3 linked regions of the Xenopus tropicalis genome follow. The protein of the gene in region 2 interacts with the protein of the main gene of each other region in a pairwise test. Links are inferred from orthologs where the notes say so. Each region holds a gene or a part of one and is shown on either strand. Other genes may lie near its edges.

The links.
Region 1: the proteins of cep126 (region 2) and hmox2 interact in a two-hybrid assay, tested with the Homo sapiens proteins (2 studies listed by BioGRID and IntAct). The link is inferred for Xenopus tropicalis from reciprocal best matches to the Homo sapiens genes CEP126 and HMOX2.
Region 3: the proteins of cep126 (region 2) and yae1 interact in a two-hybrid assay, tested with the Homo sapiens proteins (2 studies listed by BioGRID and IntAct). The link is inferred for Xenopus tropicalis from reciprocal best matches to the Homo sapiens genes CEP126 and YAE1.

What each region holds. Positions count from the first base shown.
Region 1 is NC_030685.2:302,139-305,890, forward strand, and holds the start of hmox2 (heme oxygenase 2), read left to right. Parts: upstream 1-1,021; 5' UTR 1,022-1,110; intron 1,111-3,317; 5' UTR 3,318-3,323; coding exon 3,324-3,391; intron 3,392-3,752.
Region 2 is NC_030678.2:162,394,700-162,398,351, reverse strand, and holds part of cep126 (centrosomal protein of 126 kDa), read left to right. Parts: intron 1-1,679; coding exon 1,680-1,799; intron 1,800-3,652. UniProt on the Homo sapiens protein: Participates in cytokinesis. Necessary for microtubules and mitotic spindle organization. Involved in primary cilium formation.
Region 3 is NC_030682.2:64,476,924-64,480,675, forward strand, and holds the start of yae1 (protein YAE1 homolog), read left to right. Parts: upstream 1-1,183; 5' UTR 1,184-1,320; coding exon 1,321-1,449; intron 1,450-2,806; coding exon 2,807-2,928; intron 2,929-3,752. UniProt on the Homo sapiens protein: The complex LTO1:YAE1 functions as a target specific adapter that probably recruits apo-ABCE1 to the cytosolic iron-sulfur protein assembly (CIA) complex machinery. May be required for biogenesis of the large ribosomal subunit and initiation of translation.

The sequences.
Region 1 (3,752 bases), on a different chromosome or scaffold from region 2:
CTGGGGATTGTGGGAGGGTTAGCCCTGGGGTAAGGGGAGGAGCTGGGGATTGGTGGGAGGGTTAGTCCTGGGGTAAGGGGAGGCGCTGGCGATTGTGGGAGGGTTAGACCTGGGGTAAGGGGAGGAAGCTGGGGATTGTGGGAGGGTTAGCCCTGGGGTAAGGGGAGGAGCTGGGGATTGTGGGAGGGTTAGACCTGGGGTAAGGGGAGGAGCTGGGGATTGTGGGAGGGTTAGCCCTGGGGTAAGGGGAGGCGCTGGGGATTGTGGGAGGGTTAGACCTGGGGTAAGGGGAGGAGCTGGGGATTGTGGGAGGGTTAGCCCTGGGGTAAGGGGAGGAGCTGGGGATTGTGGGAGGGTTAGCCCTGGGGTAAGGGGAGGCGCTGGGGATTGTGGGAGGGTTAGCCCTGGGGTAAGGGGAGGAGCTGGGGATTGTGGGAGGGTTAGCCCTGGGGTGAGGGGAGGAGCTGGGGATTGTGGGAGGGTTAGCCCTGGGGTAAGGGGAGGAGCTGGGGATTGTGGGAGGGTTAGACCTGGGGTAAGGGGAGGAGCTGGGGATTGTGGGAGGGTTAGCCCTGGGGTAAGGGGAGGAGCTGGGGATTGTGGAGGGTTAGACCTGGGGTAAGGGGAGGAGCTGGGGATTGTGGGAGGGTTAGACCTGGGGTAAGGGGAGGAGCTGGGGATTGTGGGAGGGTTAGCCCTGGGGTAAGGGGAGGAGCTGGGGATTGTGGGAGGGTTAGCCCTGGGGTAAGGGGAGGCGCTGGGGATTGTGGGAGGGTTAGCCCTGGGGTAAGGGGAGGCGCTGGGGATTGTGGGAGGGTTAGCCCTGGGGTAAGGGGAGGAGCTGGGGATTGTGGGAGGGTTAGACCTGGGGTAAGGGGAGGCGCTGGGGATTGTGGGAGGGTTAGCCCTGGGGTAAGGGGAGGAGCTGGGGATTGTGGGAGGGTTAGACCTGGGGTAAGGGGAGGAGCTGGGGATTGTGGGTATAAGGTTCCGGGCTTGTTCCGGCTGGGCGTTGCTATGGGGACGGGTACTTCCGGCGAGTGACCTACAGAGTTGCGGAGGTTCCGGTAGAGAGGAGGATTGCGGAAGAGGGGAATACCGGGAGTATCGGTGAGTTGGGGGAGAGGGAGGGGTCACTGTTACGCTGCTGCCCCGGGGGCTCTCCGGCTTGTTTGTAGTTGATGGCAGAAAGGAAGGGGAATCTACCGACCTACCCACCTACCGACCGACCCACCTACCGACCTACCTACGTACCGACCTACCTACGTACTTACCTACCTACCGACTTACCTACCGACTTACCTACCTACCGACTTACCTACCGACTTACCTACCGACCTACCTACCGACTTACCGACCTACCTACCGACTTACCTACCTACCGACCTACTGACTTACCTACCGACTTACCGACCTACCTACCTACGTACCTACCTACCGACTTACCTACCGACCGACCTACTGACTTACCTACCGACTTACCGACCTACCTACCGACTTACCTACCTACCGACTTACCTACCTACCGACTTACCTACCGACACATATGGGGGGGGGGGGCAGTAATAATATTCCTATGAGGAGGTGGGAAAGGCTGGAGCTACAGCCAATGTCTGGCCCAATATACTGCCAGGGGTTCGGGTCCAACTGGCACAATGCTGTAGCCCGGCCATTACCCTGCCCATATGCCCAGTAGCGGTGCCATTACCCTGCCCGTATGCCCAGTAGCCCGGCCATTACCCTGCCCATATGCCCAGTAGCCCTGCCATTACCCTGCCCGTATGCCCAGTAGCGGTGCCATTACCCTGCCCGTATGCCCAGTAGCCCGGCCATTACCCTGCCCATATGCCCAGTAGCCCGGCCATTACCCTGCCCATATGCCCAGTAGCCGGGCCATTACCCTGCCCATATGCCCAGTAGCGCTGCCATTACCCTGCCCATATGCCCAGTAGCCCGGCCATTACCCTGCCCATATGCCCAGTAGCCCGGCCATTACCCTGCCCATATGCCCAGTAGCCGGGCCATTACCCTGCCCGTATGCCCAGTAGCCGGGCCATTACCCTGCCCGTATGCCCAGTAGCCCGGCCATTACCCTGCCCGTATGCCCAGTAGCCGGGCCATTACCCTGCCCATATGCCCAGTAGCCCTGCCATTACCCTGCCCATATGCCCAGTAGCCCGGCCATTACCCTGCCCATATGCCCAGTAGCGCTGCCATTACCCTGCCCATATGCCCAGTAGCCCGGCCATTACCCTGCCCGTATGCCCAGTAGCCCGGCCATTACCCTGCCCGTATGCCCAGTAGCGCTGCCATTACCCTGCCCGTATGCCCAGTAGCGCTGCCATTACCCTGCCCGTATGCCCAGTAGCCGGGCCATTACCCTGCCCATATGCCCAGTAGCACTGCCATTACCCTGCCCATATGCCCAGTAGCCGGGCCATTACCCTGCCCGTATGCCCAGTAGCCCGGCCATTACCCTGCCCATATGCCCAGTAGCGCTGCCATTACCCTGCCCATATGCCCAGTAGCCCGGCCATTACCCTGCCCGTATGCCCAGTAGCCCGGCCATTACCCTGCCCGTATGCCCAGTAGCCCGGCCATTACCCTGCCCGTATGCCCAGTAGCCCGGCCATTACCCTGCCCGTATGCCCAGTAGCCGGGCCATTACCCTACCCGTATGCCCAGTAGCCGGGCCATTACCCTGCCCGTATGCCCAGTAGCGCTGCCATTACCCTGCCCATATGCCCAGTAGCGCGGCCATTACCCTGCCCGTATGCCCAGTAGCCCGGCCATTACCCTGCCCGTATGCCCAGTAGCGCTGCCATTACCCTGCCCGTATGCCCAGTAGCCCGGCCATTACCCTGCCCGTATGCCCAGTAGCCCGGCCATTACCCCTGCCCGTATGCCCAGTAGCCGGGCCATTACCCTGCCCCGTATGCCCAGTAGCCGGGCCATTACCCTGCCCGTATGCCCAGTAGCCGGGCCATTACCCTGCCCGTATGCCCAGTAGCCGGGCCATTACCCTGCCCGTATGCCCAGTAGCCGGGCCATTACCCTGCCCGTATGCCCAGTAGCCGGGCCATTACCCTGCCCGTATGCCCAGTAGCCGGGCCATTACCCTGCCCGTATGCCCAGTAGCCGGGCCATTACCCTGCCCGTATGCCCAGTAGCCGGGCCATTACCCTGCCCATATGCCCAGTAGCCCGGCCATTACCCTGCCCATATGCCCAGTAGCCCGGCCATTACCCTGCCCCTTCCCTTCCAGGGAGCCATGTCTGTGAGTGGGTGCATAGAATAATGTGTCCCTTCCCTTCCAGGGAGCCATGTCTGTGGGCACAGGGGACAGTGCAGATGCCGGACTGTATGGCGCAGAGGAAGAGGATGTGTGTAGGTAAGTGTCCCCCAGTCCCCTGCGCTGCTACAGTGTGAGCACCTGATTGGCTCATTCACCATTAACCCTATGTTTCCATTTGCTGCCTGTGCAGGTGCATGTATTGTGCTGTGCTGGTTAGGGAAGGGTTAACCTGGGCTTAGGTTCCTTTTCCCAAAGGCGAGCCCTCCCCATGGTTATTGGGCAGAGGGTCTCAAACTGTGGGCGGAGCCAGTCTCACTAACACCATCCTTAATAGAGGAACCGCCGGTACCAACCAGAACTCCCCCCTTTGTTCTTAGTGATGGTTTGCTCCACGGTCAGTATCTTAAAGGGGAAGTTAACTTTTTTTATGGCCTATTTTTAGCAACTTTTAAATTGG
Region 2 (3,652 bases):
ACACAAATCCTGCTGAAGAAGGCAGAATCCTGGATTCGGTGCATCCCTAGTTTTTATTATACTTTTTGGTGACCTACGTGATTTCTTGAGTTCCTACCCCTTTTTTGGTATATATGATAATTTTTTATAGTTTCTGGGGGTGACTGACACCAGCAGCCAAAATTTTTTTGCTCCATACCACTACAGTGTTGTTATTATTGTTACTTTTTATCGCTTATTTTTCTATTCAGATCCTCTCCTAGGCATCTTCCAGGGCTCTCATTCAGACCACTACCTGCTTGCTAAGGTAAACGTGATCCTAGCAATCAGATAGCAGTTGACATTCCAAACTGGAGAGTTGCTGATCAAAAAAGCTAAATCGTTCATTTAAAAAATTGCAGATTGTATTAGAATATCACTGTCTGCATTTTACTAAAATTTGAATTGCAGCATTCGAGCGTTGATCTAGCTAAAACTATATTGCAAATATTTCTCATTGTGCGGCTGCCATTACGTCACACTTCAAAGTCAAACCTTTTATTTGTACAGCGTTGAATGATGTGTTGTAGTGCTGCAGAAACTTTGTGTTCTATAATTAAGTCTATAAGTCTGTATAATCTATTAATAAAACTACAAGGCTGCTTTGTTCCTTGACAATTCAGGATACTTTATGATATTAATATGACTGATGTCTACTATGCCCTGTGGGGAGCAGTGAAGTCATGCTTTACGATGTAGCAAGCAATTGTGATTTTCAAATGAGTAAACAGACAAGCAATTGTCAAGGCAGGAAGAACAAACCATTTTATCATATGTATAAGCATGGTGAGATGCTGGTGAAGGAAAAGCTAGCTGATGAGTTTACACATGTACCATTGTAGCTCATCTGTGACATAATTATAGGTTGTTACCTAAAGGAGCAGTTCATTTTCAAATTAACTTTTAGTATGTTATAGAATGGCAAGCAACTTTTCAATTGGTCTTCATTTTTTATTTGTTATAGTTTCTAAATTATTAGCCTTTTTCTTCCAACTTCTTCCAGCTTTCAAATGGGGGTCACTGACCCTAGAACTATTAGTCTGTGAGGCTACTATTTTATTGTTGTTGATATATTTTATTACTTTTCTTTCTGTTCAGGCCCTCTCTTATTCATATTCCAATGTCTCACTCACATCACTGCTTGGTTGCCAGGGTAATTTGGACCCTAGCATCCAGATAGCTGCTAAAATTCCAAACTGGAGAGCTGTTGAACAAATAGAGTAATAATTTAAAAACCACATATAATAAAACATTGCATCAAACTAAAAGTTAATTCAAAGGTGAACAACCCCTTTAATATAAATGAACAATTAATATTTTGGTCCAGGCATCAACGAGCCAATGCGGTCCCTGATCCAATGAAAAATCAAACCTGCCCGATTTTAGGCCAGATATCGCTCGCGCGGGCCCGTCGTTAGTGCCCATACACAGGCTGATAACCTGCCGAATTGGTCTAATGGACCAATATCAGCAGCTAGAATCGGTCCGTGTATGGCCACCTTTAGAGTTGGCCAGTAAGGGTGAGAATTGGGCAGTACGAATGAATATTTTGCTGAAAGCTGATAGTTTCAATTTACCATTATAAACAACAACAAAGTCAAATGTATAAGCATTTACATTTATCAATCAAGACATATCCCTTAACTCAGTCCTGCTTTAAGAAACCAAAAATCACATCTGGAAATAAACTTGGATGAAGAAAGACAGGAGTTGCTGGAAGAACAAAAATTATGTCGAATTCGAGCGCAGAAATTAAGCATAGAGACAAATCGACGAAGAAAGTAAGTCTATACTGGTGTTTCTTAAAGGGATACTGTCATAATTTTTTTGATGTACTTTTTATTTCTAAATTACACTGTTAACATAGCAAATAATTCCCTCTACCATTTAATTTTTTTTCCTTAAACCAACAAATGGATTTTTTTAGCTGTAATATTGGTGTGTAGGCACCATCTCAGTGCATTGTGCCTGAGTCTGAGCTTTCAGAAGGAGCCAGCGCTACTCATTAGAACTGCTTTCAGCTAACCTATTGTTTCTCCTATGTAACTGGAAGAGTCCCAAGCCGGACTTGGATTTCTTACTATTGAGTGCTATTCTTATACCTACTGGGAGCTGCTATCTTGCTGCCGTTCCAATTGTTCTGCTGATCGGCTGCTGGGGGGGGAGGGGATCACTCCAATTTGCAGCGTAGAAGTAAAGTGTGACTGAAGTTTATCAGGGTGCAGGTCACATTGGTGTGGCACCCTGGGAAATGAAGAATATGGCTAGCCCCATGTGAAATTTCAAAATTAAATATAAAACAATGTGTTTTTGAAAAACAGACTTCAGTGCAGGATTCTGCTGGAGAAGCTCTATTAACTGATGGGTTTTGGGAAAAAACAAGTTTTCTCATAACAGTATTCCTTTAAACTTATTCTCAGGAAGCCTAGAAATTCTGCATTTGCATTTATATACCATATTTTGATTCCATTTTTGTTACTGTTAGTGGAAACTTTACCTAACAGATTGGTGACCCATATGTAATAGTGAAGTTAAAGAGGGAAGTGTTTTGCCTATGGCACATTAGGGTTAGGTCTTAGCTGGACAAATTCCTAGTAATTAATGGCCTGTGAAAAACAGAATGGTCTTGAATAGGCTAAGGAGCAGATACAACAAAAGGGGCAGGAACTCTGGGAGGGGTCTTCAGGGTCTCTGTGCAGCAGTATTTAATATGTTAATGGCACCCTACCTGTCTCTGTTTAGGTTTCCTTATTTAAGTTTGAAGTAATTGTATTTGCTTTTCAAACTGTTTCTGTTCAGCTGTCAAGTGGGCAAATGTTGAGAAATAAATGTGTAGTGTTATTCCTGTTATAGAGCCTACTTTTGCAGCTATAAATGTGTTCCTAAAGGCTGCCATATACCTGCCTATATCTGATCAGCTGGGTGATAGACTGATACTAAATGAGTGGCTATACTCCGTATGGGCACCTTTCTGTTGGTCTGTTTGTTTGCTCTAACAGCCTAAATGATGGAACAGTATAAAGTGAAAAGGACCTACAATCGATGAAGCAACCAATATATATTGTAACACCAAAAATGAAGTATATGTTGAAGGGCAGGTTTGATTTCCCCTTCAAGTTGAGGACCTTGTCGTCTTGTTGATGGGGTCTTTGACCCAAATCTCATTTGTTGAGATCCAGTCGTTTTGCACTCGGGCCAAGCAATTGAATCGGCCTAATATTGCCCACCTTAGGTTGACAAAGTGGTGAAAGATCCCCTCGTTTAGCCCATAATATAGCCGACTTTAACCTGCTTGCAGATTCAGTTTCATATGAGAGCCATTGTTCTTTTCTTTCTTTCATAATTCTTATTGCCTTCCAGTGCTGTCACTTGGGTATTAGCCCAATTGTGGCAGATATAAACCAGTAGATACAAACCAAATACAAACCAGTAATGGCTGAAAGTTTGCAGAGGAAAAAACAAACCTTGCCCAGCTTTGATTACAGCCTTGATAGAGAATGAAGCAATCTATGCGAATCTAATATATAATACATTTTGCATAAATAACCGTCCATAATTCACTTTTTATGTATTTAGTAGAACAAAGACCTTTTGTTAACTAAACATTATGATACTTTTATTTAGAAGCTTGCAG
Region 3 (3,752 bases), on a different chromosome or scaffold from region 2:
AAGATCGCACATTCCTAAGGGGGGAAGGGAGTTCTTAGCATTCTTGAGGGAGGAGGGAGCAGGAGAGGGGAGAGAGGAGAGAGCTGCGTGTGTCTGGCACAGGAAAACAAAGAGACAACAAATCCTGTATCTTTTAACAGAGAACTCAGTGCAGCGTTTCTGTGAGTGCTTATGGCTGTATTTACATAGACCTTTCTGATAAAGCTTACTTAGTTTTTACCTTTCCTTCTCCTTTAATGCTAATGTTATTAATAGGGAAAATAGCTAAAAATATAGGAAGGCCAGCATCTTTTTCGAGAAAAGGTGGCAACCCTAGTGCATACCTCCCAACTGTCCCGATTTTCGCGGGACAGTCTCTCTTTTGGCAGCTCAGCCTGCAGTCCCAGATTCTTACTGAAAAGTCCCTCATTTCCCTTTGATCTTCTGCACTGAAGCTAATTTAATTAAAAGTAGCTTTTGGCAGAGACCCCACTTAGATACATTGCACTTAGATACATTGTTTCTCACATTTAATGAAATAAGTGGGCTTTTGGCAAAGAACCCAGAAAGGTAAAGAGCCCCCCCCTGCACTGAGATACAAGTGTAACTAATAAGCTAAACAGACCTCTTGGGGGAACTGAGACTTGCAACTTAAAGGACAATTTCATCTTTTCAGCAAAACTATAACACATAAAACAAAACCCCCAGAAATGTAAACAAACTATAACCTGCCAAATGGGAGTGGTATTTAGGGGGTGTGGTCGCAAAAAAACGGGCGTGGTCACAAAGTAGCTGTGCTCTGCATTTTTTTTTGTCCCGCTTTCCATTTTCAAAATGTTGGAAGGTATGCTAGTGTAAGTCTGAGCTGGGGCGGGGAGTTTTGCCATAATCTTGAGCTCATTATTGTGTTCAGCACGCAAAAGACTTTACATATAATCATAAAAGCACGAAACAACATGCTGTTAGTTATGTACATAACATTTGAACCATATAAAGTTCGCCACACATTATTTCACCCCATGTCAAGCACTAATATTACACAAGATGGCGCTGACGCACCATTAGGAAATAGAGAAATACGCTTTCCGTTGCTTTTTTTTTTTACTACACCCAAACAACCATCTTGGCTTATAAGCAATGGACATGCCTTCAGAAAATGGCGCATAAAATAGCGATCCCTATTGGTGAGGATGCGGCTGCAAATAATTTCCACTTCCGGGGTGAAGTTAGACTGATATTTTCGTCATGGGCGAGGGGCGTATTTAGCTTTTCTGCGTTAGAGCAGGGATTCTCCTCCAGTTTATGCCATGCTAGAGCTAGATACCGGCCCCTGATAGTGAAATGGCGTGGGTACGCACCGCTTTGGAAATCCAGCAGCTTGGAGGGGAGGCAGAGGTGTTTGATGAAGATGGAGACGAGATGCGCCTTTTGCAGCGAGATTGGCAGCTGTCCATGGAGAAGAGAATTAAGGTATTCGGGAGATAGTTAGACTAACATAGCGAGTTTGGGGGCCCCTTTCTAGGCATTGCCCTATTTTACTGGTAAGTGATTTCATGTGCTCCTGGTTACCTACCCCAAGGCATACATTGAGAAGCAGGTTTTCTGGGAATTACAAGGAGGTTGGTAAAAGCGGGGCTCTGTTTTACCTCAGGGCACTGCTGTGTTATGGAGCACTCGCATCGGGGTTTCAATGTTTGTCGCAGGAATTCGGCATTTCTTCTAAACACACACATGTTCTTTCTGTGTGGCCCAAATAGCTAGTCAGTAGTAGTTCAATATAGCACACTTTATTAATTATAATCAAGAGTAATGTGCTAATAAAGTTAGTCCGTTCATTGAAGGTCAGTGGAGTTTGCCCTAATTCAAGACTAACCTACCTCATTTCTCTGCCTTGTCATTGCTTTATACACAACTTTCTTACCTGCACCCAAGCTGTGATTCGGGGAAAGTAGAATAATCACTCCCATTTCAGAACTTTATCAGTCGTTACACAAGTAACTCATTATGAAGTTACTGGTTGACCAGGTTACACTAATTCGGGGATCTTTTTGTGAGCCACAGTCAAATGTAAAAAGACTTGGAGAGCAACACAAGCATCATAAAAGTTCATGAAGGTGCCAAATAAGGGCTGTAATTGGCTATTAGGCAGCCTCTATGCACACTATCAGCTTACAGGAGACTTTATTTGGTAGTAAATCTTGTTTTTACTCAACCAAAACTTGCCCCCAAGTCAGGAATTCAAAAATCACTACCTGGTTTGAGGCCTTGGGGAGCAACGTGTTGCTCACAAGGCACTTGTTGGGGATCACTGCACTAATTAGTCCCATGTCCTACCCACCTACACATTAACCCTTTCACTGCAAGCAGATTTGGTCACAACAGAACGTTTATTGCCAGACAGTTTTTGAACATTTTGCGCTCTTTCACTTTAGAGGCCTTTTCTCAGGGTGGACTTTTAGCTTACCCAGGAAAACAATATATTTTTTTCAGGGCAATCTAAGCTTTCACAATATGCTAGAATTTTTGTGTAATGCCACTTCTATAACAATATAGGCTTCTAAATATCTATATTTAAGTGTATGTGCTTGGCAGATAGAGCCTTTTACTGCCAGCACATACAGCCTACGTGCTTGGCAGTGAAAGGGTTAAAATGGCAGGGAAAAAAATGTACCGTATCCACCAGTATATTGTCTGTTGGATATGTAGGATGCAGTAGGCATGGAGTTTTAAGTTTAAATTAATTTTAGGTTACAGATGAAAACTATTTTAACTGCTTTAATTTTGTGGAATGCTTGTTTAGTTTGAATTTCTATTCTTGTATTCGTAGGAGGGCTACGTTGATGGAATAGAGGCTGGGAAAGAAAATTCTCTACAAACAGGGTTTAATTTTGGATATAAAGTTGGAGTGAACCTGCTAAAGCATTACGGAGAGCTTAAAGGGATCTTAAGGTAAGTTGTATTGTATTTTATCTTCACTTCTCCAGTTATTTCCGACAGCTTTTCAGTCACGGGAATTACAAATGTTTAATGTGTCAAAATGCTCAGGGTGCTTTTATAAGCAGTATTAATTTTTCAGTTTTAGAGCTATTTAAGTTTTTATTAACTGCCAAAATAATAAAGTTTGTAACATCACTGCCTTCTGGTTATTTCCTGCAGTTGTACAGTCAAAGAGAGCTACCTTTTTAATAAAAAAAAAAAACAAATATTGTGCTGTTGCTTTGCTTAGGAAGGAGATGGGAAAAGGCAATTGGGGCTTCTGATCGCTTTCCTGTTTCTGTTCTGAATGTAAGGTTTGTATGTCTTTGACTGTACAATTTCAAGAACTGAGGTAGCAATATTACAAAATTCATTATATTGGCAGTTAATAAAGACTTAAATAGCGCTGAAAGATTTAACATTACATATTTTTAAGAATTGTATATATTTTTGGCAGTTCAGAAGTTTCTACACTTTTGTTATATAAGCACAAAACTGAATTATCTCATGTGAAAAAAGGGGGGCTTTTTCCCCTTTAAAGGGTTTCTTGTCACGGCTACTAAACACCAGAAAATCCCCTGCCATAGAAAATAGAGAATTGCCTCTGCTAAAACACATGTAGAGACAGTTATCAGTAAATGATCAGCATTGTCTGTTTTAGTAGCTGCAACAAGTAGCCGCTACTAGTAGCTCCGTGTGTCTTCACCCTTACAGGAAGAGCAACATTTTTTTTTTTTCTCTAATTTTGATAATTGACAGCCATGTGACTTGTGCTTCGATAAACTTCAGTCACTCTT